3 linked regions of the Xenopus tropicalis genome follow. The protein of the gene in region 1 interacts with the protein of each later gene in a biochemical or structural test. Links are inferred from orthologs where the notes say so. Each region holds a gene or a part of one and is shown in the gene's direction. Other genes may lie near its edges. The genes, in order: arl2, unc119 and tbcd.

What was found.
Region 2: the proteins of arl2 (region 1) and unc119 form a complex in vitro, tested with the Homo sapiens proteins (2 studies listed by BioGRID and IntAct, with this or other methods). The link is inferred for Xenopus tropicalis from reciprocal best matches to the Homo sapiens genes ARL2 and UNC119.
Region 3: the proteins of arl2 (region 1) and tbcd form a complex in vitro, tested with the Homo sapiens proteins (2 studies listed by BioGRID and IntAct). The link is inferred for Xenopus tropicalis from reciprocal best matches to the Homo sapiens genes ARL2 and TBCD.

What each region holds. Positions count from the first base shown.
Region 1 is NC_030680.2:32,599,309-32,603,756, reverse strand, and holds the start of arl2 (ADP-ribosylation factor-like protein 2), read left to right. Parts: upstream 1-1,518; 5' UTR 1,519-1,564; coding exon 1,565-1,629; intron 1,630-4,448. UniProt on the Homo sapiens protein: Small GTP-binding protein which cycles between an inactive GDP-bound and an active GTP-bound form, and the rate of cycling is regulated by guanine nucleotide exchange factors (GEF) and GTPase-activating proteins (GAP).
Region 2 is NC_030678.2:34,705,678-34,709,327, forward strand, and holds part of unc119 (protein unc-119 homolog A), read left to right. Parts: intron 1-1,773; coding exon 1,774-1,876; intron 1,877-2,860; coding exon 2,861-3,033; intron 3,034-3,647; coding exon 3,648-3,650. UniProt on the Homo sapiens protein: Involved in synaptic functions in photoreceptor cells, the signal transduction in immune cells as a Src family kinase activator, endosome recycling, the uptake of bacteria and endocytosis, protein trafficking in sensory neurons and as lipid-binding chaperone with specificity for a diverse subset of myristoylated proteins.
Region 3 is NC_030686.2:48,127,953-48,132,309, forward strand, and holds the start of tbcd (tubulin-specific chaperone D), read left to right. Parts: upstream 1-1,519; 5' UTR 1,520-1,588; intron 1,589-4,357.

The sequences.
Region 1 (4,448 bases):
CAGCAGCCCCTCTGGCCTTTGCCAGTCTGGGTCTGACTATGGTATTACAGTATTACATCCATGAACAGCAATGAAAAGATGGATTTCTCAGCTGCCTTGATTCAATAAAAATAATAAATATATAGTAAATATATAGATAGGCAAATATCTTGTAGTCAGTATATTTGCTAGTTATGGGCTGTCTGCACATTTAACAATTATTTGAATATAATTTTGCATTTGTTACTTTCACACTGTGATCTCAGGATTACGTTGCTCCTTTTGTCTCCCTTATTTCTGAAGAATAGTCAGTAAGACACTGTAATGTCAGTAATTATTAAATCCAGTATAACTGTACTAACGTAGGAATTAACCCATGACATTACCATTTTATAAACTGTGATCACAGATGTTTATTATTGCAGAAACATTGCTGAATTTAATGTTCATCACTCACTGACATTTTAGGGACACTGGGAAAGTGCTGAGGCACATTAATATATTTGTCTAGTTTTTTTCTTGTTTTTTGTACAGAACCAGAGAGCTATAGCAACACAAGCCTGTGTGGTTGATAGCAGGTGGCAAACACTATGTGAAGGTATCAGGGATATCCAACCAGCACCTGAAAAACATCTTAAAGGGTGGAAGTTCTGGGCATTCCTTTTTTCTATGAATCCAGCTCCCTCAGACTGGGGTCCCACATTTCCCCATTGCTCCCACCCCTCTCACTGTTACACTCGGTTCAGCCTCCTTTCACTACACATTCCTTATCAGATTTCAGCCTTTGTTCATTTTTGGCCCCTAAACCCAATTTTCTGCTGTTAAATATAATTCCACTTTCGGTATTTCAGCATCAGTCGTTTCCCATTATTTTAACAATCTATCTGCATTCCTGTCATCAGGGTTCCATTTTATGGTTCTTGTTCTTATGAATGATTTCAGCTCTGTCTCCGTCTTCACATCACCTATTTATATTAAATCATGTTTATATTTACCACCACGGCAAGCTAATCGCCTCCTTTATAAATGTATATTATCCGTCTCATTGCCTGCCCTATCTGTTTTGTCCCTCTATACGCCCATCTGCTTTCTCAGTTTGCTGCTTTTACTCACCGGCACCTTTGGGTAGACTTAGACACACAAAAGATGGCCACCTTGACCCGCCGCACGCATGCGACGCAACGTCACCTTGACAACCATCCACCAATGAGAACTCGCAGATACCCGAAATTATATGCCAAATATCTTTATCTTTTCATTACAATTCATTTATTTTTTTATTGTAAAAAAGTGGTATCTTTTAAATTAGAGAATGTGGATTACGAATAATTGTTATATATATTTATTACCTCACATAGTATTAGCATATACATATGACACGTTTTGTCATGTCGGTATAATTAAAGTTGTTGACAAAAAAAAAAATGAATGCTTTGTTTCCATAGCGACACGGTTAGATGGCGTTCATTGGCCTACGCAGACCTACGCAAATACCAATAGCAGGGGCGGAAGTTGAAGAACGTCGTATCTGATTGGTCGGCAGTTCTGACAGGAGACCTGGGCAAGGAGAAAGCGTCTGAGCATCATGGGCTTACTAACTATTCTTAAGAAAATGAAGCAGAAGGAGCGGGAGGTTCGGCTACTCATGCTGTATCCACACCTTGGTGTATCGCGGCGGGAACTATTGAGCTATTATGTTAGGGCCCGACTTGAGAAAGCACATACATTGCTACATGTGGCTACTGTCTTTATGGCTGTGTAAGAGCAAAGTAGGGATCGGACAATATTTCATGTTACACCGTGTAATGCTTGTCTTATGTAGCGTCTTAAATGGCGGGGTGACTGGTCAGTTTGGTAGGTGGGGGCAGAACATTAGTTATATAAAGCATGGTGTGTTTAGTTGCACTAATATAACTAGGGTGTGGTTTAGGTGCCCCTGACCTGCTGAGCACTTTGTATGGGGCCACAGTATATTCCAGAATATAACTGCGCTGGGCATTCCTTTATGCACTTGTGTCTGGCCATTCTCATATTGAGGTGAGTGCCAAAATGTACTATAATGTACTATAACAACGTGTCATTAATATTTAATCGTAGAAACCCACGTTTTTCTGTACACAAAAGTGTACATTTTGGGCACCATTTTAAACCTAAAAAGAAAATTGAAATTCACTGGAGGATGCCAATTTGTTAACCCCCCCCCCCCCCCCCCCCCCATATATATATTTTAACCCAGTTAGTCTCTCTCTAATTTTCTGTAAAAAAAAAAGAGAAAAAGCACACCAGCCTAATGCACTTTTTCAATGAGCTGCGCTCTTCCATCTTTGCTGCTTGTCTCAAATCCCTTGCAGCTGTTCTGCTCTGGTAGATATGGCAGTTTTAGTTCATTACATTACATTACATTAACATTTATTTATAAAGCGCCAACATATTCCGCAGCGCTGTACAATAAGTGGGTTTCATACATTGGACATACAGAGTAACATATAAAGCAATCAATAACCGATACAAGAGGTGAAGAGGGCCCTGCCCAAAAGAGCTTACAATCTACAAGGAGAAAGGGTTGAGACACAAGGTGTGGGAATGGGCATGACCAGAGTTGTGAGAGGTGGGGCACAGGGTATTGCTAAACTAGATTAGGGTAAGCCTCTCTAAATAAATGTGTTTTTAGAGATTTCTTGAAGGCAGAGAGATTGGTAGAAAGTCTGACAGTTTGTGGGAGCGAATTCCAGAGAAGGGGGGCAGCCCTTGCAAAGTCTTGAATGCGAGCGTGTGAGGAGGGAATGAGAGAGGAGTTGAGGAGCAGGTCAGTAGAGGAGCGTAACAAGCGGGTTGGATGGTACCTAGAGATGAGTTCAGAGATGTAGGGTGGGGCAGAGTTATGAACTGCTTTAAATGTGAGGGTCAATAGCTTGAATTTTATCCTGGATGGTAGGGGAAGCCAGTGCAGGGATTGGCAAAGCGGCACGGCAGAGGAGGAGCGGTTGGAGAGGTGTATGAGCCTGGCAGCAGTATTCATTATGGACTGGAGAGGGGACAGTCTTTGGAGGGGAAGGCCAATTAATAGGGAGTTACAGTAGTCCAGGCGAGATATTATAAGAGGGTGAATAAGAATTTTGGCAGCATCTTGGGTGATAAATGATCGGATTTTGGAGATATTTCTTAGGTGAAAGTGACATGATTTGATAAGTGATTGGATATGAGGGGTGAAGGACAGGGCAGAATCAAGGATAACCCCAAGGCACCGGGCCTGGGAAGATGGGGTGATGGTAGAATTGTTAACCGTTCAATGCATGGGCACCAGTCCTAGACAGCTTCAAGGGTTCATGGGTATGGGTGGTGGCACAAACGGCACAATACTCAGTAAGAAATGTACCCTGAGCCTCTGCATTTTTATCAGGAGCCAATGTTTGTATTGTTGAATGGTCATATCTTGCATCGTGGTACATTTATGATGAATATCCAGCCAGGCTGTTGGTTTGACCACATACACTGGCCGATAACCTGCAGACTCTTGGTGGGGTCAAGTCAGCAGCTATTATTAGATGACTGCATTGGGGTATGGGATGGGGATGAGTTTTCCTTGCAGCGTTTTGTTGAATATTGTAATCTGGCCATTGAAGGTATTAAGTTTACTTACGAAACAAACAGGGATGTGATCCCCTTCCTGGATATAGTATTTTTTGTACAAAACAACCGAATAGCAACAGATTTATACCGTAAACCTATAACACGCAATACACTCTTACATGCAGACAGCGGGCACCCCCGGAATTGTGTGCGAGGAATCCCAGTGGGACAGTTTCTGCATCTTAGACGCATATGTTCCTCTTGGGATTCCTTTCACAAACAGGCCATGCAACTGTGGGACAGATTTGTACAGAGAGGTTATGACACGGAAACCATCAAAATAGCCTATGAGAGGGCAGTTGCCACCAGTAGGTCCGATTTACTCAATAGTGCATCTCAGGATAAGGCATGCCCAAGGGGTAAGGCCAAATATAATCATAAGTCCAATACTAGGTTTTGCCTTACTTATGGCAAGGGAGTTGCAGAAATACAAAGAAGTGTCCGCAAACACTGGGCGGTCCTTTTACAAGATGCAGATCTGTGTAAGGTCTTGGATGAGACACCCCGATTTGTTTTTAAAAGGGGTAGAAATTTAGCCTCATGGATTTCTAAAAGTCTATACTCCACTGAGACTTATAAACAGGGGGCGACATGGATGCGCTATAAGGGTACATATAAATGCGGTAGAAGGAGATGTAAAGCTTGTACTCTAATTGGGGTATCCAAATCCTTCAGGAGCTCCAATACAGGGTGTGTCTACCAGATTCCCCAATACTTTAATTGTCAGACCAAAGGGGTGGTATATCTAGCCACATGTGAGTGTGGAGCCCAATATGTGGGCAAGACTATCCGGGGGGCAGGCATACGCTTTCTTGAACATATGTCAGCAGTAGATAGGG
Region 2 (3,650 bases), on another chromosome or scaffold:
CCTTACTAGAATCAGAGCTTTTCAGAAATGTGTATTTTATATTATTATATATAATATATTATTTTGATATTTTATTTGGCAGTGGGCAGTAACCCATGGCAGCAAATAAGATGTTTGCTTTCAACCTGCAGCTGCCCAGTGTTTATAAATGAGCACCCAATATTTTCAACCCGCCTGGCACCCAGAATTTCCAGGCTGACACACTGCTGAGAAGGGAGTTCTACTCACAATGATCAGGATTGTAACTGTTGTAACACTTGACCTATAGGCTTAATTTGGGACTTTATGCAATGCAATGAAGTGAGTCATAAATCCTTGAATTAGAAGATACAGGGTTGTTACAGAAATAGTTTTCCATTGTAGTCATAGCAATCATTGCTAACTGATGGGTTTGGGTATATTACCGTTCCAAGAGGGACTTATGCACATATTCCTTGTCTGTTAAGTAGCAGGCTGGATTTGTTTTCCTTTTGTCTGAATGTACCATTGGATGTTTGTTGGGAACTTAAAGCTGGTCATATGCAGAAAGGTCCACTCGTTTGGTGAGGACTCTATACAAGTGGACCAATCTAAGCGCATATGCACTTCTCACCCTGATCATCATCTGGCTGCTTATTGTTTGGGCAGGCCTGTCTGAAGGCCCCGGGCACTGCTGATAAGCTGCCCACTCCGTGACCGTCAGCAGCTTTTATCTGCCCATGTAAGGCCACCTTAACCTGCTGTTGGGATATACTGATGGTGTTAAATAACCAGGCACAGATTGCTTTTACAGATTAACCAAACCCGCCAGAAAGCTGCGCTTCTAAAGCTGTGTTAAAGGGGTTGTTTAGCTTTATTTTAAAGGAACAGTAACACCAAAAAATGAAAGAGCTTTAAAGTAATGAAAATATAATGCACTGTTGCCCTGCACTGGTAAAATTGGTGTGTTTGCTACAGTAACCCTACTATAATTTATATAATAAGCTGCTGTGTAGCCCCGGGGGCAGCCATTCAAGCTGGAAAAAAGGAGAAAAGGCACAGGTTACATAGCAGATATGTTATGTAACATAACAGATAAGTTCTGTAGAATACAATAGTGTTTTATCTGTTATCTGCTATGTGCCTGTGCCTTTTCTCCTTTGAATGGCTGCCTCCATGGCTACACAGCAGCTTATTTATATAAATTATAGTAGACTTTCTGAAGTAAACACACAACTTTTACCAGTGCAGGGCAGCAGCACATTATATTTTAGTTACTTTTATACACTTTCATTTTTTGGTGTTACTGTTCCTTTAACTTTTACTATGATTTAGACAATGATTAGATATTCTGAGACAACTTGCAGTTGGTCTTCATTTTTTATAGTTTTTTTTGGTCATTTAGCTTTTGGTTAGCAATTTGGTATTTTAGCAGCCATCTGGTTGCCAGGATCTTATTTTCCCTAGCAACCAGGCAGTGGTTTGAATAAAACTAGAATAAGTACAGGTGATTGAATAGAAAGATAAGTAATAAAATTGTAGCTTTGCAGAGCAGTAGTTTTTTACCTGCAGTGACCACCCAATTGAAAGCTGGGTAGAGGTAGTAGAGAAAGGCAAATAACCCAAAAACCATTAAAGATAAATAATGAAGACCAGTTGCAAAGTTGCTAGGTATAGGACATTCTATAACAGTGATCCCCAAACAGTGGCTTGTGGGCAACATGTTGCTTACCAACCCCTTGGATCCTTGCAATGTTGTGGCAAGCTAAATTCCCTTATATAGCATTTCATTAGATAGCACATTTTATGTTTTAGAACGTGACCACGGCGATAAAAAGGATGCTGATCCTAATGCTGGCAGATTTGTCCGATACCAGTTCACTCCAGCTTTCCTGCGACTGCGCCAAGTAGGAGCAACGTAAGTGCCTAGAAAGATCACTCTTATAAGCAAATGCTTGCTCTTCTGCTATGAGAGAATTTGCAAGTAGGTTCAGGTAATGTAAATACAAACTATGTGCGATAGTTGTTTTCATTTCCTTTATGGCTTAACTAAGAACATGCAGTTCTGCACATGAAAATCAGTATATTAATCTAAGTATGAGGAGAGAATAAATAAAAATGGAACATTTATGCAATGGTTTGCATGTAAATTAGAGTTCAACTTTTATGGATAATATATTTCATTCTCCATAATGGCACTAGCTATGAAAATAGTGTTACATACAACAGACTCATATTGTGCTTAATGTGAAAGTCTGCCTGGGCCACATGAGGTTGGAGGCACCAACGAGTATTTTACTTCAACTGGTCCTGGGCCAGGCAGGGGTATAAGTATAGTGAGAGCATTGCATAACAACTCTGTCATTAAATGTACTTGCTCCTTCCTATAGTTGCTCTGGGCACCACTCCTTTCTGTCTTCTGTTTGGAATCGTGTGCCGCAGCACCTACTAACGCATGGGTACTCTGGAGCTACTGCCACCTCTGGACCAGGAGGTAGCTCCAGGGTTCCCCTCGTGCCCTCTGTCAATTGCCACAGCACAGTTGTGCTAAAGGAATAGGGCACACACGTCATGGCAAACACCAGAAATGATGCCCGAGAACACCAGATGACAGGCAGGCTTAGAAAATACTTGTCTCGGTTGCAACCCTTATGCAACAGACACAGTTGTGTCCATTATTACAAAAGAATGTAGTTGCATTGTGTATTATATGCTGTGTTACGAGATCCACTGGTTTTAGAAAAAGAACATTTGCATTGTGGCTCAAAACTGCACTTTACTCACTGCACTTGTTGACATAAATGAGCCCTTTTGTGTAGCAGCCTCTGACTGATCACAAAGTCTGCGTTACTGAAGCAAACATGTATCTTTTATATTTATGTATGTATATATTTTATTGCAGAGTTGAATTCACAGTTGGTGATAAGCCCATTAATAACTTCCGCATGATTGAACGGCATTATTTTCGTGAGCAGCTATTAAAAAGCTTCGATTTTGAATTTGGCTTCTGTATCCCCAGCAGTAAAAACACTTGCGAACATATCTATGAATTTCCACAGCTCTCTGAGGATCTAAGTAAGTTATTTCTCTACGTAAGTATTTAGAAATATATCTGTTCCTCTCTGTGGTTATATTTTATTTCATATAACAAATGCAGTCTGATTCTCCGTGAATCAGTGCAGATTTCAACTTCAAAATAGGCCCTGGCATTTCAAGTACACAGAGGCCCAAACAGCCCCCCACCAGCCCAATAAATAGTGACTGTCTATGGCATCTTACAGCAGCCCCTCTGGCATTTGCCAGAACCCACAGATTGCCAGAATTTGTGTAATTTTCCAACCTTCATAAGATGTCAACTGAGAACTCCATTCTCACTGTATTTTCATAAGCCTGAATAAATATTGAGGGAAAATGCCTGCCAGCTGTTTGGTTATTCTTTTAGGGTGAATAGGCAATAGAACTTGGCATGTAAGGCTGACATATCCACCATTTGTGTGCAAGCTTCTACCCTGAGACTGTAAGATAAAGAATTAGATGGCTTAAAGTACATTTTTGCCAAATAAATCTGTACTCATAATATTCTGTAACATTCTGGCAATGGAAGGTCCATTTTGTTTGAGATTGATGTTTAATAAATATTGCAAAATAAAAATCTTGTTTCCCCTTTTTTTTCTCATTCTATTTTGCAGTTC
Region 3 (4,357 bases), on another chromosome or scaffold:
ATAGGAAGGTTGGTATTTATTGTTTCCACAAAAGGTGTCACCCCTAGCTGCAGGTGCAGCCAATTAGAAGGGAGGATGGGGGAGGGGTCTGGAGAGAATCTGCAGGGGGGGGCAAGATCTCCCCAAACCAACTGATACTTACTGCCCCCCCCCCTCCCAGAGCAGCTACAAACTGCTGCAAAGCCAAAAAGCAAGGCTGCTGCCAGGAAGCAACTAGAGAGGGACTGTGCCCAACTGGCAAAGGCAATGGTCGGGGGGTCCTGCAGAACTTGGAGAAAGCACAGGGGGCAACACTGCTATGGGGGACAGAGACTGTGCTATGGGAAAGGGAGGGGGCAGAGGGTTTTAACCCTTTACTGATGGCAAAGGCTTTAAACACCATTAAAGATATATTGAAGGAGACATTGCCAATATGAAGTTTGCTAATGGAGAAGCAAGGGCTATGGGTATAAGGAGGCCAGCGGGCAGGAATAAAGGGCTGGGGAAGGGGTTGGCCAGTGTAATGCCCATGATACCATGCAGCACCCCAAAAATTTGTATCCATGTACATTGACTTTGTTAAGGGGGGGAGGTGGGGAGCCTTATGTTTGGCATTTGGCACCACCCGGTGATTGTGACTTTAGTCCTCCTATAAGCTTCCCCCAGGATTTGGGGGGGGGGAGTTGTTTATATTCCAGTGTGGCTCTAAAAGGAGGAAAGCTGAAGAGGGGGGTAAGAAGGAAGAGAAAAAGAAAGGGACATGGGCACCTATATAGCAGAGCATTTTGTCCCAAGTGTAAAAATTCCCTTTGTTATATGGTAATAGGGGGCACACAGCAGAACTATATGGCAGATCCACTATCTTTCTGGCACCGGTGGGGCAGGTTTGGACTGGGATGTAAAACCCCCCCACTAAATAGTGACTATGGCATGTTACTGGCATTTGCCAGAAGCCACAGATTGCCAGTCTGGGCCTGTATGTGGGTGTTTTAGTGTTGGGCTGGCGGGGCATCAGTACAATACCTGGGGGCTCACCTACCCCCACCTGATCCCCACTGGTGCTTCCTATTGGTCTCCCCTGATCAGGCTGAAGATAGTATAATGTATGCATTCTCCAGACTGACAGGGCCCTGCAGCACCCCAGCCTCACACTGGGAGTTAGAAAAAAACAAAAATCTGTAAATAAAGGTCAGATTAAACCAGGTCTGATGGGCCCTGCACACCCCAGCCTCATCCTGGGTGTTTTAACAAAAGCTGTAAATAAAGATCCATTTTTAACCACGTCTGACATCCATCTACAGAACTACAACTCCCAGCATCTCCTTTACTCACAACTACAGTATAACAAGCATGAACTTTGCTTTATATAGTAGTAGGAGGGCCAACACACAGGGCTGTGGGTAACACTGAGATGCCACACACACCACCCGATGGGAGAATGGTGTAGGTAGAGCGATACACGCCTTGCTCTGTGCTTGCATTCACTCTCATTTTGTCCCTCTCCGGGACCCGTAGTTTGCACAGTAGCCTTTTTGTCATAGTTACTGGGTTGGGCGGGGCCGAGCGGCTGGATCACGTGGGAGGGCCCCGGAAGCTGCAGCTTCGTACAGTGAGTAATTTACTGTTCGGGTGTGTAATGTTAGTGTGTGAGGGGATTTGGTTTGACTTCTGCGGGCCCCCGTAGCGCAACCCTACTGCTCTCTGCTCCCCAACACCCCAACGCTTTCTGTTAGCTGATTGGTCTCTGCTCTCCCTCAGTACTCATTGTTTCACATGGCCCTCCGCTGTGTAATGTGACAGGGCTGTGTCTGACAGAATAGTGACAGGAAGCCCAGTCTGTGCCCCAGTGTGTGTCAGATATATGGCAGCTCTGTGCCCCAGTGTGTGTCAGATATATGGCAGCTCTGTGCCCCAGTGTGTGTCAGATATATGGCAGCTCTGTGCCCCAGTGTGTGTCACAACCCTCCCTCCAAATGAATGTAAAATCAGTGCCCCAGTATCTGTCAGACCCCCCCCAAATAAATGGAATTTCTGTGCCCCAGTATCTGACAGGAACCCCCCAAATATATGGCAGGTCTGTGCCCCAGTATCTGACAGGAACCCCCCAAATATATGGCAGGTCTGTGCCCCAGTATCTGACAGGAACCCCCCAAATATATGGCAGGTCTGTGCCCCAGTATCTGTCAGACCCCCCCCAAATATATGGCAGGTCTGTGCCCCAGTATCTGTCAGACCCCCCCAAATATATGGCAGGTCTGTGCCCCAGTATCTGTCAGACCCCCCCAAATAAATGGAATTTCTGTGCCCCAGTATCTGACAGGAACCCCCAAATATATGGCAGGTCTGTGCCCCAGTATCTGACAGGAACCCCCCAAATATATGGCAGGTCTGTGCCCCAGTATCTGACAGGAACCCCCCAAATATATGGCAGGTCTGTGCCCCAGTATCTGACAGGAACCCCCCAAATATATGGCAGGTCTGTGCCCCAGTATCTGTCAGACCCCCCCCAAATATATGGCAGGTCTGTGCCCCAGTATCTGTCAGACCCCCCCCAAATATATGGCAGGTCTGTGCCCCAGTATCTGTCAGACCCCCCCCAAATATATGGCAGGTCTGTGCCCCAGTATCTGTCAGACCCCCCCCAAATATATGGCAGGTCTGTGCCCCAGTATCTGACAGGAACCCCCCAAATAAATGGAATTTCTGTGCCCCAGTATCTGACAGGAACCCCCCAAATATATGGCAGGTCTGTGCCCCAGTATCTGACAGGAACCCCCAAATATATGGCAGGTCTGTGCCCCAGTATCTGACAGGAACCCCCCAAATATATGGCAGGTCTGTGCCCCAGTATCTGTCAGACCCCCCCCAAATATATGGCAGGTCTGTGCCCCAGTATCTGTCAGACCCCCCCAAATAAATGGAATTTCTGTGCCCCAGTATCTGACAGGAACCCCCCAAATATATGGCAGGTCTGTGCCCCAGTATCTGACAGGAACCCCCCAAATATATGGCAGGTCTGTGCCCCAGTATCTGACAGGAACCCCCCAAATATATGGCAGGTCTGTGCCCCAGTATCTGTCAGGAACCCACCAAATATATGGCAGGTCTGTGCCCCAGTATCTGTCAGACCCCCCCCAAATATATGGCAGGTCTGTGCCCCAGTATCTGTCAGACCCCCCCCAAATATATGGCAGGTCTGTGCCCCAGTATCTGTCAGACCCCCCCAAATATATGGCAGGTCTGTGCCCCAGTATCTGACAGGAACCCACCAAATATATGGCAGGTCTGTGCCCCAGTATCTGACAGGAACCCACCAAATATATGGCAGGTCTGTGCCCCAGTATCTGTCAGACCCCCCCCAAATATATGGCAGGTCTGTGCCCCAGTATCTGTCAGACCCCCCCCAAATATATGGCAGGTCTGTGCCCCAGTATCTGTCAGACCCCCCCCAAATATATGGCAGGTCTGTGCCCCAGTATCTGTCAGGAACCCCCCAAATATATGGCAGGTCTGTGCCCCAGTATCTGACAGGAACCCCCCAAATATATGGCAGGTCTGTGCCCCAGTATCTGTCAGACCCCCCCCCAAATATATGGCAGGTCTGTGCCCCAGTATCTGTCAGACCCCCCCCAAATATATGGCAGGTCTGTGCCCCAGTATCTGACAGGAACCCCCCAAATATATGGCAGGTCTGTGCCCCAGTATCTGTCAGACCCCCCCCAAATATATGGCAGGTCTGTGCCCCAGTATCTGTCAGACCCCCCCCCAAATATATGGCAGGTCTGTGCCCCAGTATCTGACAGGAACCCCCCAAATATATGGCAGGTCTGTGCCCCAGTATCTGACAGGAACCCACCAAATATATGGCAGGTCTGTGCCCCAGTATCTGTCAGACCCCCCCCAAATATATGGCAGGTCTGTGCCCCAGTATCTGTCAGACCCCCCCCAAATATATGGCAGGTCTGTGCCCCAGTATCTGTCAGACCCCCCCCCAAATATATGGCAGGTCTGTGCCCCAGTATCTGACAGGAACCCCCAAATATATGGCAGGTCTGTGCCCCAGTATCTGACAGGAACCCCCAAATATATGGCAGGTCTGTGCCCCAGTATCTGTCAGACCCCCCCCAAATATATGGCAGGTCTGTGCCCCAGTATCTGTCAGACCCCCCCCAAATATATGGCAGGTCTGTGCCCCAGTATCTGTCAGACCCCCCCCAAATATATGGCAGGTCTGTGCCCCAGTATCTGTCAGACCCCCCCAAATATATGGCAGGTCTGTGCCCCAGTATCTGACAGGAACCCCCCAAATAAATGGAATTTCTGTGCCCCAGTATCTGACAGGAACCCCCCAAATATATGGCAGGTCTGTGCCCCAGTA